Arabidopsis thaliana: one gene and its partner. The protein of the gene in region 2 interacts with the protein of the main gene of each other region in a pairwise test. Each region holds a gene or a part of one and is shown on either strand. Other genes may lie near its edges.

Region 1 (5,911 bases), about 14 Mb from region 2:
TTCTTTCAACTCATCCATTTTACAAAGAAAAGCGTCATCCAAAAAACTTACCAGGCAGAAAAGTAGGGAAATTAGAATTGTCAGCAGATGTCAAACTTTCTGGCCGCCCCATCATTTGGGATCCACTATACATAAAAGAGCTGCTTCCACCAGGCCTGAGAGTCCCTTTTCCTTTAGCAATCAATGCAGCTGTTTCCGATGAAGATTCTATTTCATCAGGAGGATACCGATTTCTTGATAAGCTAGTTTTCTGGGGAGAGGAAGACAATGATCTAACAACAGCAGAGTGCTGATCAAAACCCTGGCCGGAAGGTCTTTGGCCAGTGCCTTTTGAATCTCCATTGAGTTGCATTGGTGATGAAAATCTGTCACCTTGACTATGAGATTGCGGGTAAAACGTGTTCCCAGCAGCAGGTGCACCTCTACCTTGACTAGTGGACTGAAGAGTCTTGGCAGTCCAAACTGGTGAATAACCGGATTTTGTATTCCTATACTTCTTCCCAGAAGGCGTGACACTTTCATTTGTGTGGAGTCTTTCCATACTAACTTGTATACCATGTACCACATTACTGGACGGCGCTGAAGGATAAAATGGAGGAGAAGCGGAACTCAAACTTGACACAGCTACATTCTTTTTGGCATGGGCACCTTGATTCTCAGTTTTAGCAGGGGCAGTTGGTGAACGCCGTGAATCGAGGTGTGGCATTTTCTCACGAGAGTTTTGAGACCCATTAGAATTTCGTAACCTACAAATTCAGTACACAAGTACATTATAATAGAGAAAACCCTTCACTCAACTAGGGGATTTTTTTTTTAAGAACTCACTGTTTGCTTTGCTCAGAATGTGCTTGATTTTCATTCCTCAGGGGAGTGTCGGATTTCCTGGGTCCTCTCCCTCGTGAGACAGCTTTAGGAACATAAATTTGCTGTCCACTACTGGTTAATGTGTTAGAACTGCTCCCTCTAGCGTATCCACGCCCTTGTCCCCTACCCCGACCATGACCTCTGAATCGGCCTCTAGACATCCTCTGCTGTGTATCAAATGCAGTTTAAGAAAGAAAGGAAAAAGATAAGAGACGGAAAGTGCATAAATACAACAAAGCTAACATATGTCACATGTACATGTTATAGCAATTAAGAGATAAGAGGAATCTAAAATTATTCTAAAAACCATAGACAGAAGCTTTACATCAGAATGTTTTTCCCCAGTATTCATCTCTTCAAATTTGTCATGTCCCCATTTTCTTTCCTCTCCAGAGCCCCACTGTCTTCTCCCACCACGCATTCGCCTACGAAAGCAAGATAAAGAACTATATCAATCGACAGATAGAAGGTAGAGAGGAAGAGCTATATTCAGAAAAAATCATATTTCCCAATAGTATGAACTAAGCAATCCCCAATGCAGCTACTCAAACCCCTCATGCTTGATAAAATTGCAAGATAATAAGAGGTCAATAACTCCACCTTAGAGTCAATTATCTCTCCTCTAAATACAATTTCATCCTAAGTTAATACCTACTTTGAAAAATCCAACCCTTGCATAATAAGGTTGAGTTGATACTTGATAGCTTATAGTGACAGATTTTGAAGCAGAATTGATTGAGAAAGCTGTGAAAAACAAACACAGTAAAGAGAGTAAACCTGTTTCCGCCAGCAGACATTTCCTGAAACCTATCATCATGCATATAAAAAGCTCCACCAGTGGGAACAGCAGCTTGTAACTTCTCCTTTTCATTTTCTTCCTCTCCATTCATATCACCAGCCTCCTTCACCACACCACTCTTATCATTATCGATTCCTCCACCACTTTCCTCCTCATCATCCTCATAACTATCCTCCCCATCTTCGTCATTATCATACTTCACAGTACCAACTTCTTCATCAGATAGGTCAGAATCAACCACAGCCCTCTGATTTTTCACATCTCTAACAGCATCATCATCATCACTATCGTCATCACTCGCTTCTCTCCTCCTCGTCGCCAAGGAGCGGTTCAGCTCCTCGGGATCACTCTCATATTCCGCTTCAGATGTCGCCATGAAATTCTCTCTAGAAACCTGAAAAAAAGGAGAGTGGTACTCGTAAATCCAAAACCTAGATGAAGAAGAAATTCAATTGAGAAATCGAAAGAGTCGCTCAAGCGCTCCGTACTAATCGACTATGTAGAAGAAAGCTCGCGCATACCTATAAACCCTATCTGAGCTCGAGAGGCGTTCTTCAGCGATTTTGGGGGTTTCCAATGAAATCGAATGGAGCCAGACCTTTTGTTAACTGTTAATTAATCGATTTTATTTTGTTATTTCGCGCATTAAATATAACGACTGTGACCTAGGTTGACCCAAATAAAGGTATTTAACGGGCCCAAAAAGAAATTTGTAGGCCTTTTAATGGGCCATACACTTTCAGAGCCCATTTAATAGGTTGCGTTGTTACTACGAACTCATTATAAATATGAACCGTAGCCCCAATCAGAGAGATTCGATACCGTCTGCAACTCTCAGCTACTTTTTCCCCAATTTTGAGCTCAACATCGAACCCTAGCTCAACGAACCAATCATGTCTTCCAAGCAAGGTACGTTGCTGTTATACAGAGATTTGAGTTGGTGATTCGTTCACCGAATAAAGTGATTAGAGACATCGTTTACGATCTGCTCATCTTATTTTGGTTTTAAACAGGAGGAAAGGCGAAACCTTTGAAGCAGCCTAAAGCTGATAAGAAGGAATACGACGAGGTGACTCTACTGTTTCTTTTTTCTTTTAAGAGTTGGATTTTCTGTTGATTTGCCTTCAGCTAAATCGGCTTATATTGTTAGCTTTAGACCTCGAATCAAACGATGCTTTTGCTCTGGATCTGGTTTTGATTGTCCAACTAACTTGAATTCTTAAAATTTGTTAACATTCAGTGACTCATAAATCATTAATTTTGCTCGGATTCAATGATTTATACGCAAGTTCGAATTTTGATCCAGTGTTTTTAAGGGCACAGTCTTGACTTCTTCACTTGATTTTGTTTGCATACTATTTGTGTATTAATGACTCTTAGACATTCTCTAATTGCTGAAATGTTGATTTGGTATCAATGCAGACTGACTTAGCTAACATTCAGAAGAAGAAAGATGAGGAAAAGGTGAGTTCCCACTTTGATGCTCTGACTTGTTTTCTCTTTTTGTTCATATGAAGTTTTGTGATTGGAAAAATGCATCTAGTTAAACTTATATGTTTGGGCTCCTCTTTCAATGGAAAGCTATAAAATACGAATCAAAGATTGTATCTTCACAAGAGAGCTTCTGTTTAGATACATAGGTTTGTAAAGGTTTTGTAAAGGTTGTGCATTAATATGTTCCACTTTGTCAGTTTGGTCTACTAATCAAGCTGACTCTAATTATGACTTTATAGCTGGTGACTACAACTAGATGGGTCATTTCTATTAATTATTTGTTAGTTTAGGGGTATTCATTACAGATTCTTTTGAGATGATATGGACTAGTTTCTTCTTACTTTGATGAAATAGTGACCATTTGCCCATGTTAGGATGTTTAGTCTACTTTTTTTCCACCCAATTGTGTGAAAGACTCATTAGCCTTTCTTTCGCATGAGAAGTACAGTGATCATTTGTTACCGAAAGCCTGACCTGTTTTGTTTTGAATGAAAATGATAAAACAGGCCCTTAAAGAGCTTAGAGCCAAGGCATCGCAGAAGGGATCCTTTGGAGGTTCTGGACTTAAGAAGAGTGGCAAGAAATGATCCGTTTTATCCATGAAGTGTGTTTTAAAATGCAAATTTATCAAGTGAAAAAAACAGATAATCCTGTGTTGATGTAACTTTTTATCATAATTCGAGAAGAGTAACTTCGCTTCTCCATACATATGTTTGCTTTCTCCATTTTTTCATGAAAAAGAAAAGTGGTATCTACCCTAAAATCATTTTGTCAAGAATCGAGTAGTAGGGTGTCACATCTCTATCTTCAGATATAGTATTATAAACTGTAAGTTGTCATAACTTGAAGTGGAAAATATGTTGCATTGATAGTAGTTGAGAATAGGAGCGTAACTTGACTCTACAAGATGAGGTAGAAACTGAGGGTGGTGACAGGTGATTTTACCAAAGCGGTGTGTGTAATGGTTAACACTGTTCTTAAGAAGTGCATACTCTATAGATGAAAGAACTACAGATAGCCCGTGAAAGCAAAGCTGATCCAGAGGAACTTTAAAGCCTGAAGGAGCCTGCCTTTCTCCTTGAACCGTTGATCTTAGCAGAGGTACGAGGATCAGAGAACTCGTAATACATGTCTGTGAAGAAATTGTCAACAATGTCAAGATACACAGGACTTCTGATGCTTGAATAGCATCGAAGCGCTTCCCTTACATCCAATGCGTGATCCACGTCTCTCAGATCCACCATATTGAGATCTTTCATCTTTTGCGCCAACGCGTCACCTCTTTTCTTTGCATCCTCGAATGGCTCAGCGACTTTCTTCGGTTTCTTTTTATGTTGGTTGTTGAGACTCTTCTGGTGTGTTGTATCTGCCACAGCCGTGTCACAACAGATAACGGTGTAGCTTTCTTTGGTTTGGGTTTGGGAATCTTCTGGACAGCGGCGGCTGCAGGAGTAAGGGCTCAAGAGAGGAGTGTCGTTAGGTAAGTTTTTGTAATCACTAGAGCAGATAGTGGACTTGATGCTCCCAAGAGTCTTCTTTAAGAAACGACCAACTCTCTGAATTGATTTTGATGTAGGTTTCATCATCTTTCTTGCTGCTCATTTTTTTGAGAAGATAACCATATTTATGTCACTAGGGATCTCAAAAGGAAACCTAACATTGATTTAGTGGCATGTAGTAGTTGAAGAAGCAAGCTGATAGTGTCAGACTTTAAGAAGGTGTCATCTTGTTGATTGTGTTGTCCACTTTTATAGGTAAGCAATCGTCATCACATTGATAAGCAGTGTTCAAAATTGGTCCCCTACTTATCATTGCCACCACCACTCACTACTCATATTATATATACTGTATGCCAGTTGACTCGAGGTAATATCAGAACCAGGCCCATGAAGCCCATTAAGAAGCCCATATTTTTGGCGGTAACCAATGAAGATCCATTTTGGGTAGGAAAAACCCTAAAGGACGCTACACAGTCGTCTTCTCGGAGCCGCAAAGATTTCTGTAGAGCAAACTTTGATCATCCCCTGCATCTGCGGCAATGGTAATCTATTGGCATTTTTTTTCCATGTAAGCTCATGTGTGACTTATGTGTAACCGGTGCTTTGGAAATGACAGGGTAAAGGAACAGGGAGCTTTGGTAAGAGGAGGAACAAGTCACACACGCTCTGTGTGAGATGTGGTCGCCGGAGCTTTCACATCCAGAAGAGTCGTTGCTCGGCATGTGCTTATCCAGCTGCCAGAAAGAGGACATGTATGTACTCTCTCTCTATTTCTGTCTCTGTCTTGGAATTTTGGGTCTGATCATGGAGAATTGGAGATATATGAAAGAGTCCTGGAATTTATGATTTTGTGTGCAGATAACTGGAGTGTGAAGGCAATAAGAAGAAAGACAACAGGAACTGGTAGGATGAGGTATCTCCGTAATGTCCCTCGAAGGTTCAAGACTTGCTTTAGAGAAGGTAAAGCTACATTGCACCCTTTGCTTCACTTAAATATTTGATATAATCTAAGACTTGCTCAATCTGATCGATGGAATTCTGTGAATCAGGTACGCAAGCCACCCCAAGAAACAAAGCTGCAGCTTCGTCTTCCTAGGCATTGTTCAGTTTGCGTTTTGCCATCTCTTTCTTGCTATGTAGCTTTTTTTTTTAATTCGTTTGTTTATCTTTTTTGCTCTTGTACTTCCTTTACTGTGCAATCCTATTTCTGATAGTGTGATCACTCATCAATGAAATGCATCCGTGCTATTACTGT
Region 2 (5,911 bases):
CATGATAAATAGTAACAAGGACCAAGCATTACTTTTGAAGGATTTTTCCTTTCTCCTTGTATGGTTTAACGAGCACACGTGAGTCACATATGAAATGAGGGTTTCCACGAGCTAATATGGTTCTCACAGTTTCAGCCTTAGCAAAAGTTACAAACCCATACATCCTTTGCTGCTGATATGGAATCCTCACATCATCCACAAGTCCAAAATCTCTACACATTAAAAAAAAACATGACAGTCAAAACAAAGAAACATGACTCCCTAATCCAAATGTACACCAAACAGAGTCCTTCCTTACATCTATAACCCGATTATATCACAACACATGATTTACCTGAAATAGGTTGAGACGTCTTCATCAGTGAAGGAGCTTTCAGATGGAAATGTCAAGTAAATCTGTTTAGAGACTGAATCCTCTCTTTCATGCCTTCCTTGACTAAAATAGTTACCACATTCTTCTCCAAAATGTCCTGATCCGTGTCTGCAAAGAAACAATCACCATGAGGAAAACCAAGCCTCAGAGCTCAAAACTTCTTGATACAACAAAACCAAGAGAACAAACCAAAACCATCTAAAAAAACTTGCCTCAAGCTAAAATGCTACTACTCTTGTTGTGTAAAGTTTAAGTCTTTCCTAACAGAACATACACAGAGAAAGAAAACAAAAAATCCCAAACTTACCTATGCAACATTGGAGAGCCACAAGCCGCCATAAACTGAGCAGCAACCATGCTCTTTTGCTGAGCTAACTTCATCCTCATCATCCCCTCAAGCATGTAATCCATCTCACTCGGCGATCCAAAGACACCAGAGGAACCAAAACCATCAACTAAACCGCCTTGTGGAAATTGATGACAACCATTTCCTCCTCCAAACCATGGTTCCTCTGACTCAAAACAAGCATCGTTAGCAGAGAAACTCCTCTTGTGAGAATTGGCAAATGGGTCCTCGTCGTTTGTGAACAGAAAGTTGTTACTGAATTGTTGTTGCTGCTGCTCATCGCCGGAAGAAGAGGCAAAAAGTGATGAACTTTCACGAAAAGGACTAGAATTGAAGTTAGGCTTATTATCTCTGAGTGTGTTCAAAGTTAACGAAGAAGACAAAGGGTTACTAGGGTTTCTCGAGAACTCTAAGAACCCATTTCTGGGAGAAGACGAGGACAATGACTGGCCATGGATATTGATGGGTCTCGAGAAACCGTTCGAGGAAAAACCTAAATCGACTTTAGCTTTCTGACAGAAAGTCTGTATGAGAGAGTCAGGACCAAAAGCAATTCGAATCAAATCTCTTTGTTCCATGTCTTGCAAGAGAAAATAGTCAATGACTCTGGAAGCGTTCTCAAGTTCGAAAGTTCTGATCTTTGAAAAGATTATTGAAGTTGGGTCGCCAGGATCCATGGCCGGAGAAGTTTTGTTTTTCCCCACAAGATGGTGAAGAAGACGAAGAGAAAAAAGGTGAAGGCTCTTTTTGGGTTTGCGTTAAATCATAAATGTATGTTTCTTTTAGAATTTTGTATGATTTTGTCTTTGTAAAAAGCATTTAGCAAAAAAAACAATTTTTTTTAAAAATCGAACCTTTTTTGTTTTTATTGTTCTTTGAAACTGTTATCGATTTTTAGGGATATTCAAGTTTCGTAAAGAGCGAGATTAGAATGGAAAGAAATCATATATATTGACCTGATTATTTTGGCAAATTAAGAGCATTAACAGATTTTAAAAAGATTGTAGTAACAGATTTTAGTAGGTATCAACACTATGTATTCCCTTTTTCATGGATAAAGTAGCTTTTTCAATACATTGTTTTCGTTTTTGTTTTTTTGTTTATTAGATTGATTTGTTAGAAGAACAATTTATATTTGCAGTAAAAGATTATTGGAGATAATTAAATTATTTAGTTAAAATAATTTATATAAAGTAATTTTTTAGTTAACTAAATTATTTGACCCCAAAAAAAAAAAGAAATTCTTGGTCTGCCACTTTCTATACTCTATACTAATAAAGATTTTAGTTTCTTCACCTATAGTAATGGGAATCACTTGGTTCCAACAAAATTGATAATTACAACTGTTTGGTGGATTTAATTTTTTTTTTCTCCCAAACTCTTTGGCGTTACAACCTGCAAGTAAAAGGGGAAAAATGAGGTCAAAAACTCTATCAAAAAACAAAACCAAATGAATAAGGGCCAGGCTTATCCCTGAACATAGCTAAGTGAAAACTAGCATTGTGATGTATAGATTATATAAATCTTAGGACCTGCCCGTAAAGAAAAAGTATACTCTATAAATATTAGGACCTGCCCGTAAAATATTTTTTGCCCTTAACTCTCATGACCGGGCCAGCTAAAGACAAACGGTCACTTGAACTGTGAAGTCTACTATTTTTAGTATAGGGCTCATCGACAACAATTACCCTATCCCATCCCATAAAACAAAATTTTGTCAGGCAGCTGTTCTTTTCCCCGTCACACCAAAACTCGCGCATGACATTAATTTTTCCTCAACACTGTAACGAGTGTACGGTCTTCGGTTACTTCATTTCCAAATCCTACCCGTTAAGATTATCTTTAGATATTATATCAACGGTCGATATAGCTTCTTTAAGGACACGTGTGTTGTTAAATAGTTGTCGTAAATTGACCAGAGTTTTGTACTACTTTAGTCAACAGAACCAGACAATAAATGTTTTCCAAATTAATGCTCTCCCCTCCTCTAAATGACGTAAGTAATTATTGGCGACGAACTAAGATTTGTTTTCTTTAAATGCTTTGCATCTCTCTATGTTTTCTTTCTTAGAATTTGGTCGAACATGTTGGACGAGATTTATTTGAGATTAGAGTGGGAATTAGAAAGCAATATTCGACTATAATGATTGTATGCAAACGGATAAAACAATGATGATCACCATCAAAGAGATGGACCAGTATCGACTGTAAAGTGTTAAATACCACAATATGATTGATAGTATCCTAATTATGAAGTGATACAATAATTTGACATCATGAATGCTTAAAAAGGTATGCCATGATTCACTCTCGACATATGAAATTCAGATAATGTAACATTAACAAGAGAAGTTTTCATCAAAGGCTTAAGCCTGTTTTGTAAGAAACCTAAAAAATCAAAGGCTTAGCTTACTCTGAAGCGTGAAAGAATAAATAAAAAAAGTAAGAGCCCAAAATAAGCCCACTAACATTGACGAGAGGAGTTTAATCAAAGCCTGTTTAAAAGGGAAAAGGAAAAACTAGCGTGAGAAAGAAATACAAGCGTAAAAGCCCAAAATAAGCCCACTTAAGGTCCAATATATTCCTATAAACAACACTGGCAGAGAAATATCTTGATAGAAGAAAGAGCTCCGTCCCCAAAAACAAAGGAAACAAAAAATCAGTCGGCGAAACGGGAAGAGATCTATCGGAAATCTTACGGCGGCGGAAGTCATGGCGAACATAGAATCAGAAGCAGTCGATTTCGAGCCAGAGGAGGATGACCTTATGGACGAAGAAGGTACAGCTATTGACGGAGCTGATGTTTCTCCACGCGCGGGACATCCGAGGCTTAAGTCGGCTATTGCCGGAGCTAATGGCGAATCAGCAAAGAAGACCAAAGGCCGTGGGTTTCGCGAGGAGAAAGATTCCGATCGTCAGCGTCGTCTTTCCTCACGCGATTTCGAATCACTTGGTTCAGATGGCCGTCCTGGTCCGCAGAGATGTAATTTCACTAAATCTCTTCCTCTTTCGCTGTTTTTAGTTAGGTTTTAGTGTTGGCATACTGATTCTTCGCGTTGTTGATTTATTTGTGGTAGTAATTTGTTCTAGGGTTTCTCATAACCCCTTGTGTTTGGGATTCAATTTGACCTAGAAGTTTTTTGAAAAAAATTAGATTGGTTTAGATTTAGTTTGTAACCATTATAAAAAATGTAATGGTTCTAGAGTCTGTGAAGATAGAACATAGTTTCTTTGAGGGTAATGAAGAATTGGGACTGTTTTGGATGAATTTGTTTGTTGTGTGTGTTTATGTGTAGCCGTTGAAGGATGGATTATCTTGGTCTCTGGAGTTCATGAGGAGACACAGGAGGAGGATATAACCAATGCTTTTGGTGATTTTGGGGAGATTAAGAATCTAAATCTCAATCTCGATCGCCGTAGTGGTTATGTCAAGGTATGGAGTTTTGCCTTTGTTTCTTAGTGGCTCTTGATGTCATTATGCCTTTTGGTTAGTTATTGTGAAGCTAATTTTTTTGCTTAGTTATGTTGATATCATTTTGCCTTTTGGTTTGTTATAGTGAAGCTTGATTTGTTGGATTGTTGTCATGATGTAATTTAGAGATGAATGCAATACTGTTTTGTCGTAGATGTTGACTTTACTCTTTGACATGCTTTGTGTTAATCAATGTAATACTGAATATCTGAAATTGAGAGCCAAAAATGATAAATTTATCTTTGCAATGTTACATTGCTTTTAAGAGGGAGATGTAATATTCTGTAAAGTGCAATGCTGTTCCCTAAGGACACTTCGTTTAAGTTACTTCAAAGTGTCAGAAATGACGGGTCGAATAAGATAAGCTGTCTTCTAGATGCGAGTTTAGGAATCAAATATTATTTTTCTTTAGTTTGCTTGAGTTCTCATGGAAGTGGAAGTAACACTTTGCTTTTGTTTTTTTTGATAAGGGATATGCTTTGATAGAATATGAGAAGAAGGAAGAAGCACAGAGCGCTATTTCAGCAATGAATGGTGCTGAGCTTCTAACACAGAATGTTAGCGTTGACTGGGCCTTCAGCAGCGGTCCCAGTGGTGGTGAATCTTACAGGAGAAAGAACTCGAGGTTTGTATCCTAATCTCTTTTCTGTTCCGCTACGACTTGTCTGATCTTGTGCCGATATGAAGTCAAGAGTGTCAAAAAGTATCAATTAAGATATAGACTTAGAAGTTTTAACAGTTGACAAGGTAGTATATTGTACTAAGCACCTACCAAACTTTACTGTCTTTATGCTAATGAATCGAAATCACTTGTGACTTGTCAAGTAGTTATACCTTTCTTTAAATCATCATCCATTGATCATTGGGGTTTTACAGGTATGGGAGGTCGCAACGTTCAAGAAGTCCGAGAAGACGTTACTGATTGTATGATTTGGTGGAGAGTTCTCCCCATATCTCTCTGTATTAGGGATTCCCTCTCTTATCTGTAAGGTACTGATGCAAGACGCTGAGTGTTGAACAAATTTTTTTCTGGGGTTTTTGTAGGGTTTGGCTGCTTTTGCATTGGTTTATCTCTTTATGCATTTGCATGGGATTGTTGCGTTTAAACACCATGAGATCTGTTTTAATGCTTTGTATTGGTAAAAGAAGAGAAACATTGGATGAGGAAGAATGTTTTAATTTTCATTCTCTTATTGATTCATATTTAGGTCAGACAGAATTTGAAAATCAAAGACCTTCCATTACACTAGAAAACCAAATATGATTATATAGAAAAAATCAAAGAATTTTCAACCAATGGCATTATTTCACACTGGTTTATTATTCTAGGCGTAACTATTGGTAACCTAAATATGTTAACAGAAATCATCAAATGACTATTAAATATTTTGGCTGAAATTTTCCAATCAATGGCAATATTCACATCGTTTGTTTTTATAGGCGTAACTATTCGTATCCTAAATATGTTAAAAGAAATCATCAAAGGTTTGATGATTTGAGATAGAGCATGTACTTTCTTGCTACTCACAGGTTGCATGATTTCATTTGTACGAATCAATCATCTATACTTTGTGCATTGAGCCAGTCCCACATTATGTTTATGTATCCATCTATTTTAAGGGCTCTCATATACTAACTTACAGCTGAAAAGTATAAATATGAAACAGTTGGAACAGTTATATAAGTTCTGCTTTTGTTGTCACCAACAAAAAAAATGATA

What was found.
Region 1: the proteins of Y14 (region 2) and AT1G15280 interact in a two-hybrid assay, tested with the Arabidopsis thaliana proteins (one study listed by BioGRID).

Annotation. Positions count from the first base shown.
Region 1 is NC_003070.9:5,248,666-5,254,576, reverse strand, and holds the start of AT1G15280 (CASC3/Barentsz eIF4AIII binding protein), read right to left. Parts: upstream 2,293-5,911; 5' UTR 2,185-2,292; intron 2,058-2,184; 5' UTR 2,040-2,057; coding exon 1,642-2,039; intron 1,290-1,641; coding exon 1,190-1,289; intron 1,032-1,189; coding exon 826-1,031; intron 747-825; coding exon 52-746; intron 1-51. Other genes in the region: AT1G15270 (Translation machinery associated TMA7), read left to right, coding at 2,557-2,572, 2,677-2,732, 3,086-3,127, 3,664-3,744; AT1G15260 (LOW protein: ATP-dependent RNA helicase-like protein), read right to left, coding at 4,207-4,743; AT1G15250 (Zinc-binding ribosomal protein family protein), read left to right, coding at 5,196-5,198, 5,273-5,408, 5,515-5,616, 5,706-5,752.
Region 2 is NC_003070.9:19,102,274-19,108,184, reverse strand, and holds Y14 (RNA-binding (RRM/RBD/RNP motifs) family protein), read left to right. Parts: upstream 1-3,251; 5' UTR 3,252-3,431; coding exon 3,432-3,702; intron 3,703-4,015; coding exon 4,016-4,152; intron 4,153-4,661; coding exon 4,662-4,816; intron 4,817-5,067; coding exon 5,068-5,113; 3' UTR 5,114-5,394; downstream 5,395-5,911. Other genes in the region: AT1G51520 (RNA-binding (RRM/RBD/RNP motifs) family protein), read right to left, coding at 33-212, 335-481, 681-1,396. UniProt on the Arabidopsis thaliana protein: Core component of the splicing-dependent multiprotein exon junction complex (EJC) deposited at splice junctions on mRNAs.